Lytechinus pictus: one gene and its partner. The protein of the gene in region 1 interacts with the protein of each later gene in a pairwise test. Links are inferred from orthologs where the notes say so. Each region holds a gene or a part of one and is shown on either strand. Other genes may lie near its edges. The genes, in order: ATP-dependent RNA helicase cgh-1-like and eukaryotic translation initiation factor 4E-like.

The links.
Region 2: the proteins of ATP-dependent RNA helicase cgh-1-like (region 1) and eukaryotic translation initiation factor 4E-like interact in binary tests that used the Drosophila melanogaster proteins (3 or more experiments, as listed by UniProt). The link is inferred for Lytechinus pictus from reciprocal best matches to the Drosophila melanogaster genes me31B and eIF4E1.

Annotation. Positions count from the first base shown.
Region 1 is NC_087252.1:4,883,826-4,891,468, reverse strand, and holds the start of ATP-dependent RNA helicase cgh-1-like, read left to right. Parts: upstream 1-4,397; 5' UTR 4,398-4,680; intron 4,681-7,643. UniProt on the Drosophila melanogaster protein: ATP-dependent RNA helicase which is a core component of a variety of ribonucleoprotein complexes (RNPs) that play critical roles in translational repression and mRNA decapping during embryogenesis, oogenesis, neurogenesis and neurotransmission.
Region 2 is NC_087262.1:23,051,214-23,058,671, forward strand, and holds the start of eukaryotic translation initiation factor 4E-like, read right to left. Parts: upstream 3,184-7,458; 5' UTR 3,149-3,183; coding exon 3,110-3,148; intron 973-3,109; coding exon 761-972; intron 1-760. Other genes in the region: phenazine biosynthesis-like domain-containing protein, read left to right, coding at 7,082-7,195. UniProt on the Drosophila melanogaster protein: Recognizes and binds the 7-methylguanosine (m7G)-containing mRNA cap during an early step in the initiation of protein synthesis and facilitates ribosome binding by inducing the unwinding of the mRNAs secondary structures.

The DNA of each region.
Region 1 (7,643 bases):
TGATTTTTTTTTTATTTTCTACCTGCAAAATTTGGACATCCTAAACACTTTCTGCAGGGGCCGCGGAAGCGGGGGGGGGAGGGGGGCTTCAGCCCCCCTTTTTTCCAAAACCGTGTACAAAAAACGTAAAAATGACCATATGATTGTGATTTTTTGCATGGTCAGCACCCTACCCCAGCTTTTGGCCCCTGTTCTGTAATCATGAATAGGATGGGCATCTAATTAATCGATGCGAGCACGAAGCCGCGAACTAAAATTTTTTTATATTCCGACCCAAAACTTGTGATTCGTTCTAAGCAAATTTTTGGGACCATGAACAGCGGATGAATATCTATCTAAACAATATTATGTGAGCCGAAGCGCGAGCTGAAAATTTTGTATATTCTAAAATTGTAGATTTAAAATTTGGACATTCGAGTATGCATTTTTTAGTAATCTGAAATACGAGTGTAAAGTCCGAGACTTTTGGTTATAGAACTTTGGGGAAAAAATAATGGCACCAAAATTGTGGAACAATCTGCCTCATCAATTCTTCTACATGCATAAAGACTATATGGTATTATGCGTCTCTAAGAACTGCCTATTATTATTATTATTAATCATGAACAGGATGAGTATCTAACAAAACAGCTTATGTGAGCGCGAAGCGCGAGCTGAAAATTTTTGATCTATCGACCCAAAGTTGGACATTTTATTAAAGCATTATCTGACCACGATCGTCACCCTACTAAACAATAATTGATGGCGCCCCTATAGGTCGAACATCAATTCGACGCCCCTCGGTTGAACATCAATTCGGCGCCCCTAGGTCGAACATCAATTCGACGCCCCTCGGTTGAACATCAATTTGGCGCCCCTATAGGTCGAACATCAATTCGACGCCCCTCGGTTGAACATCAATTTGGCGCCCCCCCCCCTCCCCCTATCTCGAACATCGATTGGCGACAGTATAAGTATAACATAAATTCGGCCCCCCCCCCTTCTCTCTTCCTTTTTTTTTCCTTCTCTATATATATCTTTCCGTTTTTTTTTTCTTTTTCTTTTTTTCTTTCCCTCCTTTTTTCCTCCCCTGTTCTTTCCCTCTCTTTTCTTTTTCTTTTTGGCGCCCCCTTTTCGCCTACCGGGGGGGGGGGGGGCGAAGCGTGAGCGGAAAAAATTAACCCAAAAAGGGAGACACTCTATTCATATTTCATAAAACATGAAAAAGGTGGGTAATTGGGTATCTTCCTACGTTAATAATGCGAGCACGAAGCGCGAGTAGAAAATTTTTGATAATCTAATCTGAAACAGGATAATTTCACGCACGTTTTCGCTGCGTATCTCAATATTGTGCTCGTGTTTTAGATGTAGGCATAGAATCTGAGCATTCTACATGGGCCTACATTTCTTTTATTATGAAAATCAGGCGAGCGCGAAGCGCGAGCTAATCTCTTAGTACTTTTGTAAATATTTTTTTCATCAATTTTCCTGCCTTTGTACTTTGTTTTATTATGTTTGTTTCATATATACATGATATAGGCCCCTTTCACAAGCTTTGCTTCTATGCCGGGGCCCAAACCCTATCAAGTCTCTTGTTTGATTGCGGAAAGTGGGGATGTGACCTCCATACTCTAATCAATATTCATGATGACGTGCATATTTAAAATACAATATCTTCGCTATTCAGATTTTGATGAAAAAATTTCAGCATTTTGCTTTGTGACTCGTACGGATATTTCAGCACGGATTATCCCTTTAATTGAATTCCGAGTGTCTGATTTCAAAATATGACGATCGATATCTCCGGAAAACGATAACGCGTGAATTTATCAGAGCACATTAATAAATTCAAGTGACTGATGCATGGGTGTCGATCACGGGGGGGATGGGGGGGGATATATCCCCCCCAATATTTCAAGTGGGGGGTGGTCTGTATTATCATCCCCCCAATAATTTAGGGTAGAAAATTTATTATAATGATGATGATGAAAAAATGAAAAGTTTGATCATGATGATTATAGTGATGATTATAGTATGCCATCAATCAGTTTGTTTCCCTCGCAATTCGTGTATATTGTTATTAAATAAAAACATTCTTTTCTAGGACTTTTAAACAGATGGGTGGAGGTTCAAGATGAAAAAGAATGAAATATTTATGTATATATGATATTTTTTAACACATGACATAAAAGGACCCCGACGAAAAACAACTTTTGTTGATAGAGTGTTCCATCCCACCAGTGGTAATATGATCATATTTTTACAATTTTTTAAAAAATGAAATCAATTAATGGTTTCAGATAGAATAATCGTTCATTTCTCTCTAAAGCGTATCTTCGGATATGAACATCGGATGTTTTTTTTCCCATGATATTCTTGTTATTGTTATGGACTTGAATAACTAAACTTGATTGATTTTTTCTTTATTTTGGCAAAAAGAAATCTCTTTTGAGTTTGGAAAGGGATGACAGTTTTGCATTCTATATGAGCACACTCATGCGGTACGTAAATTTCATTTTAAAACATATATTAGCTGATATTACACACTGATGGTTCAAGAAAATGTTGGAGAAATATCATAACATGACAGTTGAGTTTTGATTGTTTTTATGTTTGTTTTTGTTCCATGCACTTATAAAGCATTTAAAACATGTTAAAATCCAGGGTTAAAATCGTCTAAGGAATGACGGTAAGCCCGATGGCGCACGAGAAGCCACACAGTTTGTAATTTGTGCTAGTCTTAATTTGTCCGAATCTGCATTTTATCATCATGCATTAAGAAGAAAAAAGATATTGCCAGTCGGGTTAGATTTAAGAGAGAAGTTGTATACATCATGTTCAATAAACAGATCACTTTGTACATGGTCCAGACAATTTTTGTCATTATTTCTTTCGTATGAGTTTAGAATAGGCTTACTTGTAACACAAATTGAATTTTCAAAAAAAAATTATATAAGTACAGTACACTGCAACAATGAAAGAATTTCCGAGAAATTACAGTGGCGTAACTACGGGGGGGGGGGGGGCATGGGGGGCACGTGCCCCCCCCCCCATCGGCTGGCAAAAAAAACGGGGAAGAGGAGAAAGGAAGAGAAACGTAGTGGGAATGAAGAAATTATTGTTTATTATAATGTTATATTATAATAATGTTATGTTATAATACATAAGAAACATTTTTTCATAACTTTATTTTGCTCAGGCCTAGATGTCTTCATTGTTCCCGGTACTCGCATTGTCTGTTTAAAGTCAATATACACCAAATATATTTCCTCGCACTTCGACTTATCATTGTTTTATGTAGTGACATATGGTTCTTTTTCATGACTACTTAAAGTGATTGCCCCATTTTAAGGTATTAATATAAAACATTTCCTGTCCGTGCTTACGTTCGCACTAGTAGATTGGTGAGATATGTCTGCTCTTCATGAATTCCTAAAAATCAGTCCTAAAAATGTCCCTTTTTCTGATCTGAATATCAAAAAATTTCAGCTCGCGCTTCGCGCTCGGATCATTTGTTTAGTGAAATACGTATCGTATGGTCTTAGTGAATTCTTACAAACAGGCCTTAGAATGCCTCTCTTCAGGTCTTAATATTCCAAATTTTCAGCTCGCGCTTCGCGCTCGCAATATTTGATGAGAGATGCGTATTATCATGATTACAATGACTGCAAAAAGTGCTTCATGTGTTTAGATGTAGCAAAATCAGCAATTAAGCGCTTTGCACTCGCATTAGATGACTATGGTGAGATATGTATACTCTTAATGGATTCCTAAAATATAGTCCTTAACATGTCCTTGTTTGGGGTCAATATTTACAACAATTTCAGCTCGCACTTCGCGCTTGCATTGTTTGTTTAGCGAGACAGGTATGTATAATTACAAAAATTTGCTTAAAATGTCCTTTTTTGGTCTGCATATCAAAAATTTTCAGCTCGCGCTTCGTGCTCGCATTAATTGAGCAGTGAGATACATATCCGTTTAATGGCACTGTCTTTAAAATGTACCTATTAGGTCAGTATACCTGGCAACTGAGCGCGCTTTGCGCGCTCAGTCACCAAGTGACTCAAAATTATGCTGGTGCCCGGCCCCAATGCCGTGACTCACGGTACACCACTAGCTGCAAGAACACCACTCCCAAATGTCCTAACTTGTGATTTTAGTGGGGGTAATGTTGAAAGATCCCCATCCACAAGAACATTTGTGTCCATCATCCCCCCCCAACCAAGAATACCGATCGACACCCATGGACTGATGTATGATATTGGGCGGGGAAAAGTATAGCGCTATATTTTATAGGACCTAACTTCAATTGGGATTAGGGCCTATAATTATATTCATTTTCATCGATCTTGCTAAATCTTTTTTATTATTTCTTTTATACTTTTTTTCATATAAAAAACAACAAAAACAATTTTTTTAAAGTCAATAGGCATATATATATATTATTTATACACAACCCAAAGATTATAAGGCATTTTCGAACCTTCTTTTACAGTCTGTTGCAGCGGGGGGGGGGGGGGGGGGAATAATAATCCGGCGAATTGACAAAGGACGAGCTGCCCGGATGCCATACACAAAAGAAGAAAACAGTCTACCGGTACCTGTTTTGTCTACGGTACTGCACTGCAGCACTAGCAAATACACTGTGGACAGAATTTCGTATGCGTATACACAGACGGCCATTTTGAACCTTCTTGTATTGTAAGTCGAACAACCCGTCTCTAGAAATCCGTCTTAATCTGTGTTGTTCTGAATATGCTACTTTTGAATGAAATGTTTTTCGAATGATGTGTTTTATACGATTCTGATATGTCACATTTTGGGCATTTTAAGTGTTGGCAAAGTGTATAATTTTGTTTGAGAATATGGGTTTGAGAATTCGGTCGTAGCGTACCAGGTAGTTCATACAGCGTCATAATATAGGCTAAAATTGTAAAATATGAGATTGAAACGTAATGGGATGATTGGAAAAGGACCCGCTGTGCCCTTCCCTGACAAAAACACTTCATCTTGCTTCTATGAAGTTGAAGTGGAATTAATCTTTATTCTCGGGATCTGCTAAAGGTCTTGTAGAGATTGTTGTTAATGTTGAGAATTTGGGACTTTTTATTTTAATTTTATTGATGTGACCTGATCAGACCGGGCAGAGCGAGATATTTTTTCAATTTTTTTTTCTGAAACATTTTTTATTCTAAAATTTCTTCTCACGATGTGAAATTTGCCTCAATTTTTGTTCAATAGGTCAATAATACGGCATGCCAATAATAATACGATTTTTTTAGCTGCAGCCGTCTGTTCTGAGACAGGAGTTTTTAAACATTTTTCATCAGTAGAGGCGCACGGCCAATATGGGAGACTCACTCCAATACTAGGCCTAGGGGAGACAATCTCCCACATTGGAGACTTGCTTTGCAAAAGGACAAAAGAAACAACTCCAACAAAAGCATGATTTTTTCCACCCAAAATTTTGTCTCACTGAGGTCAGAAGCCCATTTGTTTTGTGTGTGATTGACAACAAAAATCCTTATCAAAACAAAAGTAGACGGTGAATTTTTAAAGTAGACGGTGAAAAGGGGTAATTTTTCATGAGGAATCTGCTTATCACATTTTTATTTGCCGCCATTTAATCCTTTTGCAGCAAATGTAAACAAAGGAAATTGGACTCAGATTGTCAGAAACTGGAGACTGTCTCTGAAATTGGATAGGCCTACCCAAATTCTTTACCAAAGTCTCTGATATTTGGAGATAATCTCCCACATTGGAGACAGTCTCCAATATTGGCCATGCGCCTCTACTGTTCATGTAATAAAACTAATATTTTTAAATTTCTCCTCGACCTCGTAGACGTAGTCATACAGACGGCTCGCTATCGTGCAGCCACCATTAGGGGGTTAACAATGCGAAATCCCCCCCCCCCCCCCCCCCCGGCAGTGCTCATCGATTTTTGTCCTTATTTCATAATCATACAAAGAACTGTCAAACCAAAATAAAGATAATTCCGTTTTGGCCTAAAATGCACCAAAACGGGGAAAAATAAACTTAGGAAGTTAGGGCCTAGGCCTATATAAAAGGGGAAAAAACAGTGACTTCGGCTGTCACGCAAATTCACTTCCCTGTTTTATCCGACCTTAATACACAAACATATGGCCATTGAGTCCCTGTACAGATCGAGCTAGAACTTTGGCCTCTGTATTTTGGTGAGTGGAGCCAACGGAGTTCAGCGGAACAGCCAACATAACAGAGACTGAAGCTTTTGGGTCTAGGCCTATATTTTTCTAGGCTTCTAGCCTAAGTTCATGAAGTTTGATTTAAAACTTTTGACTTTTTGTTTGAGCTTCGTCTAAAATCTTCAAAATGTAAAGTTAGACTTTTGCATTGCACGTGCTAAAGTCGATCATATGTCGTGTCAGTGCGTTGGAGAGCTGATGATAAGTGCTGTACCACACGCGATTTTCAATCCGGAAGTTGCAGACTTTCGCTCAGATTACGGCGTACGCTCGGAGCTCCTGGCATGACTGGCCTGTTCGAATGAAGGCAACAATCACAACAACACGGTTGTGACGGAATTGATGTTGACCGTATTTATGTGCAAATTCAATGCAGTTTAGCGTTATCTTTGTTTCTTTTATGAGTTTTCATATGGAAGATGTGATCGTTTATTTGCAAGAAAACTTGGAACTTAACTGTGATTGCTTCATTTTTAGCACATCTCCTTGCGATCCTGTTTCTTAAGTCTGAGCTAAGCCTCTGGAAATGAGTTTTCAAAGGGGATATTGTGACTTTCCTGTGGTGAGTGAATGTGTTTGGTGTGGGTTGTGGTGATTGCCTTCTGGCTTGTGAAATGATACGTATCGTGGCACATGTTGAATAGGGCACGCTACTCATTCAATTTGATCAATTTTATTGGCAAAGTTAGACTGGATGATCATTTGCTGATGTGAGGTAAGCGACCCCAAATTCAACGTGCACCGAGACTCGACCGCCAAACTCAGTCTCACGAGCCAGCTCATTCAATCAACACAAACCTATGGCAGAATCGCAAATTAGATACTTGTCCGCACTTCACATGTGTGCTCTACCGCCACACCCCAAGAAAGTCTTGGTTTCAACTCCAAAATCTGCTCTTGGGCTGTGAAAAGCCAAATTCTATGCCATAAAAATTGCTGAATTTACGTCATTTTTCTAAAGCGCATGGTGGCTTACAGTATGTAGCTCAGCTCAGCTTGCTTGAAGGACAAGTCCACCCCAACAAAAAGTTGATTTTAATAAAAAGAAAAAATCCAACTAACATAACAAGTGCCCGAAATTTCATCAAAATCAGATGTAAAATAAGAAATTATGACATTTTAAAGTTTTGCTTAATTTCACAAAATAGTTGTATGCACATCCTTGTTGGTGTAAATGAGGAGACTCATGACGTCATCCACTCACTATTTCTTTTGTACTTCATTATATGAAATATTCAAATTTTCTCATTGTCAAGTGAAACAGCTATTAATTCCTCACGGAACATGTGGAATTAACATTATTAAATACGATATGGTTCAGTCAAGTTGGTCCTTGTCAAATCTATAAAAAATGAAATATTGTATAATTCAAACAATAAAAAACAAAACAAATACTGAGGGACATCATTGACTGTCTCATTTGCATTTTACTGAGTT
Region 2 (7,458 bases), on another chromosome or scaffold:
ACAAACAAACAAATGCAAGTCTCAAATGCAAGCATCTCATTTGTTGAAAATAAACTTGCATTTTATTTTTTTCAAGTTGCAATAAACATTCTAGATCACCTGCCAAGTATAAAGGCAGCTTTCTCCATTATGTAGATGAATCCCACTACAGTGTCTGGTAATACAAAGTTTAGTTATTGACTGTATGGCTTATTTGTACGATTGATCATACACAATAATCGATGCAATCAATCGTAGTAATCAGACCCACCACCAATCGCTCAGCTTTGTGTCAAGGGCCACTGCAGAACACTTTGACTATGGCCGCCAAGATGGCCTCCTCTGATGCCCCTGTGAACATGTTTTAAGCCACATACATGTATACAAGGGAAATTCCAAATGCCGTTTCCATAGACGAGTGGTCTTTGTAATCATTAATGATTATGTACCACAAATAATTTATATTTTTAATTTGTTTTTATTATTTTTTATTGTCTCACCTGCAAAGCAGAGCGAGACTAAAGGCTCTGTTCCGACGTCGGTGTTGTCAACATTGAAAACTCAAACAAAATAAGTTTTTGAAATGTTATAACTTTAAATGTATGTAATCAAAGAAGAACAAAGGTACTTCCAGAGGATTAGAGCCATGTGTGGTGCTAGGTCAGCAGATGAATGATCTTTTCCTAGCCTGGCCATACTAGAAGCCCCCCCCCTCCCCAATTAAAATTGCCATTATTAAAAAAAGGAACCCAAAGTGAATTGGAGGTCCATGGATACTTACGACCAGAAATCTTCTACTGTATCAAATGCTGTGACGATTCTAAGGTTTTCTGTCCATGATTTGGCTTTGTCATTCTTGAAGAACCACATAGACCATCTGCTCTGTAAGGGATGTTTGATGAGACTTTCTGGATCTACGGCTTGTTGGTCGCTTTGGAGATCTTCTTCTTGTTGCTGCAGATGCTTTACACCCTTCCCATCTTTACTAATATCCTGTGAGAGTTACAAAGAGAGAGAGAGAGAGAGTGAGAATTATTGAAACCAACAACATCACATCAGCATTATCTATGTGATTAAAAATAAATTCCAGTTGTGGCAACGATTTCAAAATGAGTGCGTACAAAATTCAATAAGACGACTACCCAAGTGTCTTTTTCGTATACGTGCCACAGGATTCTGGGAGAAATTGTGCAATTACTGAGAAACAAGCAATAATAGAACAGAGAGATTATCTGAGTAGTCAATCTTCACTGTGATTAGCTTAGATTTCATGATTTCACAAAGTTCAGTGTAAGTAACTGTACTACTACATGTAAATTATCATCTATGATGATATAGTGATAATTCACCTTGGTTTAACAGACTTACTCATGAAATCAGTGATGAGACCTAGGCTATTTCCATGATATTTAATACTGTGATTGGTTTGCATCATTACTACATCATCACCATCACCATCACCAATACCACCATCATAATTATCATCATCCCTGCCACCTCATCATCATTATACTCATTTAAGATGCTTCCTAAAGCAAGTTTAAACCTCTGTTTATATCCAAGTTCTGTCTTCTCTTTAGATCATCATCATCATCATCATCATCAATAATCATCATCATCATCATCACCAAATATCCTTCTCCCCACTCTAATCCAGTCCTGAGCACTTTCAATCTTTAAACCTGCTTGAAGAAATGGAAAATGTTTAGATATCTGCTGTTATTGGTGTTTTTATCATCATCACACCACCATCATCATTTCATCATCACCATCATCACCATCATCATCATTATCATCACTATTATTTCATCATCATCATCACTGAAATCAATGCCATATTCTTCAAAATTCAAATCCTAATCATATTCAAATTGCAGATTTGCCACTAAATATTTGTTAAGTTTCTCCAATCTTATGAATTCATATTATATTACTTATCTCATGACATAAACTGCAATCTCTTAAATACTACTTTTTCTCCACATTACTCATCAGCGTGGTTTCCTAAATTTTAACAAAGTTTGAGTTACAAAAATTATATTTTGATATGCATATTAATTTTAAAATGTACTTGCATACGATGTATGATTTATATATGCCTCTCTTTCTTTTTTCATATTTTTCACTTTCCATTACATCCCTCTTTTACCTCCGGCTTTCACCATAGGCCTACTCTCCCTTCATCACATTCAACTTCTCTACCTGCCTATTCTGCCCCCCGCTAATAAATAGGCCTACCTTTTAAAATTCAAATTCAAGTTCAAATACTGCCTAGAGATCTACTTCCTATCTTTCATGAACCTGCTTACACAGAGATTGAGAATGGTAAGATATCTGACCGCGGTAGATAACTGCCATTATTGGCTTGTATCATCACCACCATCAATCCATCACCAATGATCACCATTATCAGGGACAGTATCACCACCATCATCATAATCATTTTTCTCATCGTCACCATCTTCATCTAGATAATAGATCTACTTTTCATCACCACTACACCAGCATCGTCTTCATCATGCTGCCAGCTTAGCCTTAATAATATTTTAACCTGCTTTTAAATTCATGTTACTTCATCACTTGCCAAAACTAAAAGTTAGAATAGAAATGACAGGATGAGGATTGGGATTCAGAACTGGAAGGAAACTGAACTCTCACTCAGTCTCAGTCTCACAACAGACTGCACAGACATGAGACAGAGCCACACTCAACTGACTGACAAACGTTAAATTTCCACTTTTTTGGTTTCAGGAAGCTCTAACGTTACTTCATTCTCTAAACCTGTCTCCTGTTTTTTTGGTAATGAAAGTTAGGTTTTGGGGGAGGACTGCAATAGCCACACAAAAACTTGGCTCAGCTCACATACCAACACAACACGAAATTCACTCCGACCTCTAGCAATTCAATGAACGTGGCTGCACAATGGCAATGCACATGTTCCACTCAACTCAGCATATCAGCGCAAGACAACCGGCGAAATTATCACCGCGAGCCTCCTTACTCTTTCGCTTTTATCTCATAAAATAATAAAAACATCGATCATTACGAGATGTGAACGTAGCATATGATATCAGGAAGCGATCATTAATCGTTAACTCAGTTAAATGGTACAGAAATGCAAGAAAATTACCTCGAGATTAACATGCTTTGCTATATTCACGGAAGCCATTTTCCTTATGTTCCAATTTTGGCCTTCTGTCGTAATGTCACGTGGTACAATCAGGTGGAAATAGAATTGATGAAGTGACCACCAAGTAGAACATAAACGTCACACAAATTTGTCTTGGGGGTCGTGCCTCGAAGGAGGAGGAGTGCAAAAGAAAAAACAAACTAAGGGGGGGGGGGGATAATCTGTCAGATCTGCTGTATTAAAAAAAAAAAACACACAATGAATCGACTGTAAGTAGAATATTGCGCATATGCACATCTCATGCAAATGACAAAGACATTATCGACTTTTCAGTGGTTGTTTATTTGAAGAGGTAGTCCTGTCACTTCTAAGCTTTATTCTTATATAAATCAACATAAATATATAATCTCTTAAGCCTTATTTGAATAATGCGAGCGCGAAGCGCGAGCTATGTTTTATTTCATGTATTTTGTCCTAAAATTTAAACATTCTGGGCAATGTTTGTGATCCTAAATGAGGTGTGTATCCAACTAAATAATTACTGTGAGCGCGAAGCGCGAGCAGAAATTTGTAATGTACGTTTTGATCCGATCAAAAAAGGATTTATTAACGGCTGCTCGTTAGCCAAGAAGACGTTACATATATTTCAACAATCAAATAATGCAAGTGCGAAGCGCGAGCTGAAAATTTTGACATGCCTACCTGAAGTATGGAATTCTACGAGCACTTTTTGTATTCGTGAAAAGGATAAGTATATAACTAAACAATTGATGCGAGCGCGAAGCGCGAGCGGAAAAAATCAAAATTTACACTTAAAAGTGGGACACTCGATCTATTCATGTTTTGTAAATCATGAAAAAGATGAGTAATTGGAAATGTTCCTACATTAATAATGCGAGCGGAAACATTTTGATATTGCATATGATCTGAAACTGGATAATGATTTAAATAGAGAGAGCAAGCTGCGTACCTGAATAAGATATATGCGCGCGCGTGTCTCAGATTTCGACCTAGAATCTGGGCATTCTAAATACCTTTTTTTTTAATCATGAAAATCAATAAAGCGAGCGCGAAGGGCGAGCTTGATATATCGATCTGAAAAGGGGTCAATTTAAGCTCTTGATTTCAAGCATATTGTAGGAAAATTGAGAGGCAGACATGGATCACACTTAAAAAAGAGCTGATATGTTTCATTACTATTACCCTGTAGTAGGTCCATGCTATTACTTTGGCTTTTGACATATAACCGGGACATTTTAAAGGACAAGTCAACCACAACAAAAAGTTGATTTGAATAAATAGAGAAAAATCCAACAAGCATTACACTGAAAATTTCATCAAAATCGGATGTAAAATAAGAAAGTTATGACATTTTAAAGTTTCGCTTAATTTCACAAAACAGTTATAATTATGCACATCCTGGCTGGTATGCTAATGAGGAGACTATGACATCATCCACTCACTATTTCTTTTGTATTTTGTTATATGAAATATTCTAATTTTCTCCTCATTGTCAAGTGATACAACGATTAATTCCTCCCTGAACAATACATGTGGAATTAGCATTGTTTAATACTATATGGTTCAGTCAAGTTTGTCCTTATTTTCAAATCTGTAAAAAATGAAATATTAATTCAAACAATAAAAAACAAAAGAAATAGCGAGTGATGGACATTATCGACTGAGTCACCTAGTTGTGCATATGACTGTTTTGTGAAAAATAAGCGAAACTTAAAAAAGTCGTATAACTGGGCGTTGTTGCGTGCGCCTGTAATCCAAGCTATGTGGGGAAGTTACAAATTGATGCAGAGGTTCGAGGTGATCGAGCCCCGGTCACGTCTTTCGGATGGTGACGTTAAAGGTCGGTCCCAGACGTAAATAATCATATCTGATTGATACACGTCTGACAAAACTCAAATACACACACTTTATTTTACATCCGATTTTGATGAAATTTTCAGTGTTATGCTTTATGATTTGACCTTTAAGAACATATGTCATCATATAGAATGATGACTATCTTCCTATTTCTCTTCCTAAGCGCGAGATGATTTGATTATTAAATTAATATCTTATTTATTAATCTATAAAAAGACTAATGCGAGCCCGAAATCTATAATGGCCTGAAAACTGGACATCTAAAGCACTTTTTGTAATTATTAATAAGATATGAGTTAATATATTTTCAACAATCAATGCAAACGCAAATCGCGAGCCGAAATTTTTGATAAACTGTCATGAAATGGTTTGTTATATAATTAATATTGAGATATACATAACCCACCAATCAAAATTCGAGCGTGCAGCGCTAACTGATACGTTTTGACAATCTGACCTGAATAGGGATATTTTGAGAACTTTATGGAATACAGGAAAATAATAGGTACCTGACAAATCGAGTGCGCAGAGCAGAGCAGAAAATGTTAATATTCAGGCCATACAATATATATTTTTTTACAGAGCACTATTTAAAAATCAATTTGTAAATCAAACAAAATAATGAAAGTTCGATTTCTGAGCTGAAATATGTTTTGTATATAAATCACCTAAAAGGCAATGCGAGCGTGAAGCGCGAGCGAAACTTTTATATAGTGTCACGAAAGATTTTTTTTATTATAATTTTCCAAGTCTTCCCCTCATCTTATTCTTTAACTCGTCTTCCTTCTTTTATGTTTCTCCTTTCTTTTCCCTTCTCTTTTTTTAAATATTATTTCCCAATTTTTTTCCTTTTTATGCTCCGCCAATAGGGGGGGGGGGGGGCATTGGCGGCGGAAGCCAAAAATTTTAGGGGGGGACTACAACAATTTTTTGACAACCAAAAAAAAAAAAGGTTATCAACAAAAAATTTAGGGGGGATCGTCCCCCCCCCCCTGGATCCGCTTATGACACCACACAACACAAATAGCGCATATAGAAAAGACGGATGCCGCACCTTAGAAAAGGGGATGCTTCCCCCTCGGCCTCTGGCTCACAAGTGACATATATTATCCTTAAAAGGAAACCAAATATAGCATTTGTTTGTTTCTTCTTTTCTTTGTTTGGTTTGGCTGGCAAAAATGCAGTCAAGATATTTTGCCACTGCTTTTTTATATATAGTGGTTTTTTTTCCTTTGAAACTTGAAGAATGGCTTCTTTTCATTTAGGTTATTTCATTTTCTTTATTTTTCCTTCACTTTTTCTGTGCTATTTTTTTTCTTATTTCCAATTCCTTTCCTTTCCTTTCCCTCCATTCCCTTCCCTTCCCTTCCTTTCTTTTCCTTTCATTTCCTTCTTGTCTTGTCTTTCTTTTTTCTTTTCTTTTCTTCCTTCTTTTTTCTGATCGCTATTTCTTCCTTTTCTCACTTTACCTCTTCTTTTGTATTTTCCCCCTGCTTTCTGCTTTTGTTTTGATTTTAAGTTTTTTTTTGGTCCTGTAATTTTTTCTGCTGCAATATCACAACAGAGAAAACAAAACCGAGTCGATTTGGGGCCTGAGTGAAAAGAAGTGAAAAGTACAGGGGGGGGGGGGTCAGCAATTCCCTCCAAGATGACTGCCGTACTCTCTTTTGTGGAGTTTTTATTATTATTATTATTATTTTTACCTATCAATTATTTTGTTTATTATTATTATACAGTAAAACGTTATCATGATACATTTAAATTATCAAAAGGAAATGATGTATTCTCACCCCAGATTCTCACTAATCATGAAAGAACACATAGGCTAGGGGCATGTTGCATAACATTTTCGCCATAAAAAAACCTCTGGCAAATGAACAAAAATTCTGGCAAAAACTTCCAGATTTGTTTTCTTTTATGCAACATGTCACTATGTAACAAACGACTTGGTGAAAGAATAAACTCTGTTGTAGTGCGTGGCCTCATAGTTCATTGCTGAGGGACGGTAGCAGAAGACCACTCGTGCTTGTATTGTAATCCTCTCTAAAAAATATTAATTTTTACTGATATTCGGGTGACATCTATACGCTCAAGATGGCAGACGGAAGCGAACAAAAGTCTTTACCAATTTACACTGTTGATGCCTTTGCAAGTGCTCCATTTACGGGGAATTCTGCTGCGGTGTGTCCTATTTCAAGCGCCGAAGAGGTACGGTATTTCGCGCGGAAACCCAGGGCCAGCTGAAGGCACCCTTGTGGTCTCAGGGTACGGTGGTCTCACTCTGAGTCGGAGAGCGAGCGCGAGGTGCATACCGGGTACTGCATACTGAGGCCTGCACGGTAATTGGACAAAAGTTTTGCGAGCGTTTACGACCACGCCCCTCTACATCAGGATGGGATCTGAAATCTGATTTAAAAAAACATCAATTATATTTATACATTAAACCATTTGAACATAAAATCAAACATTTT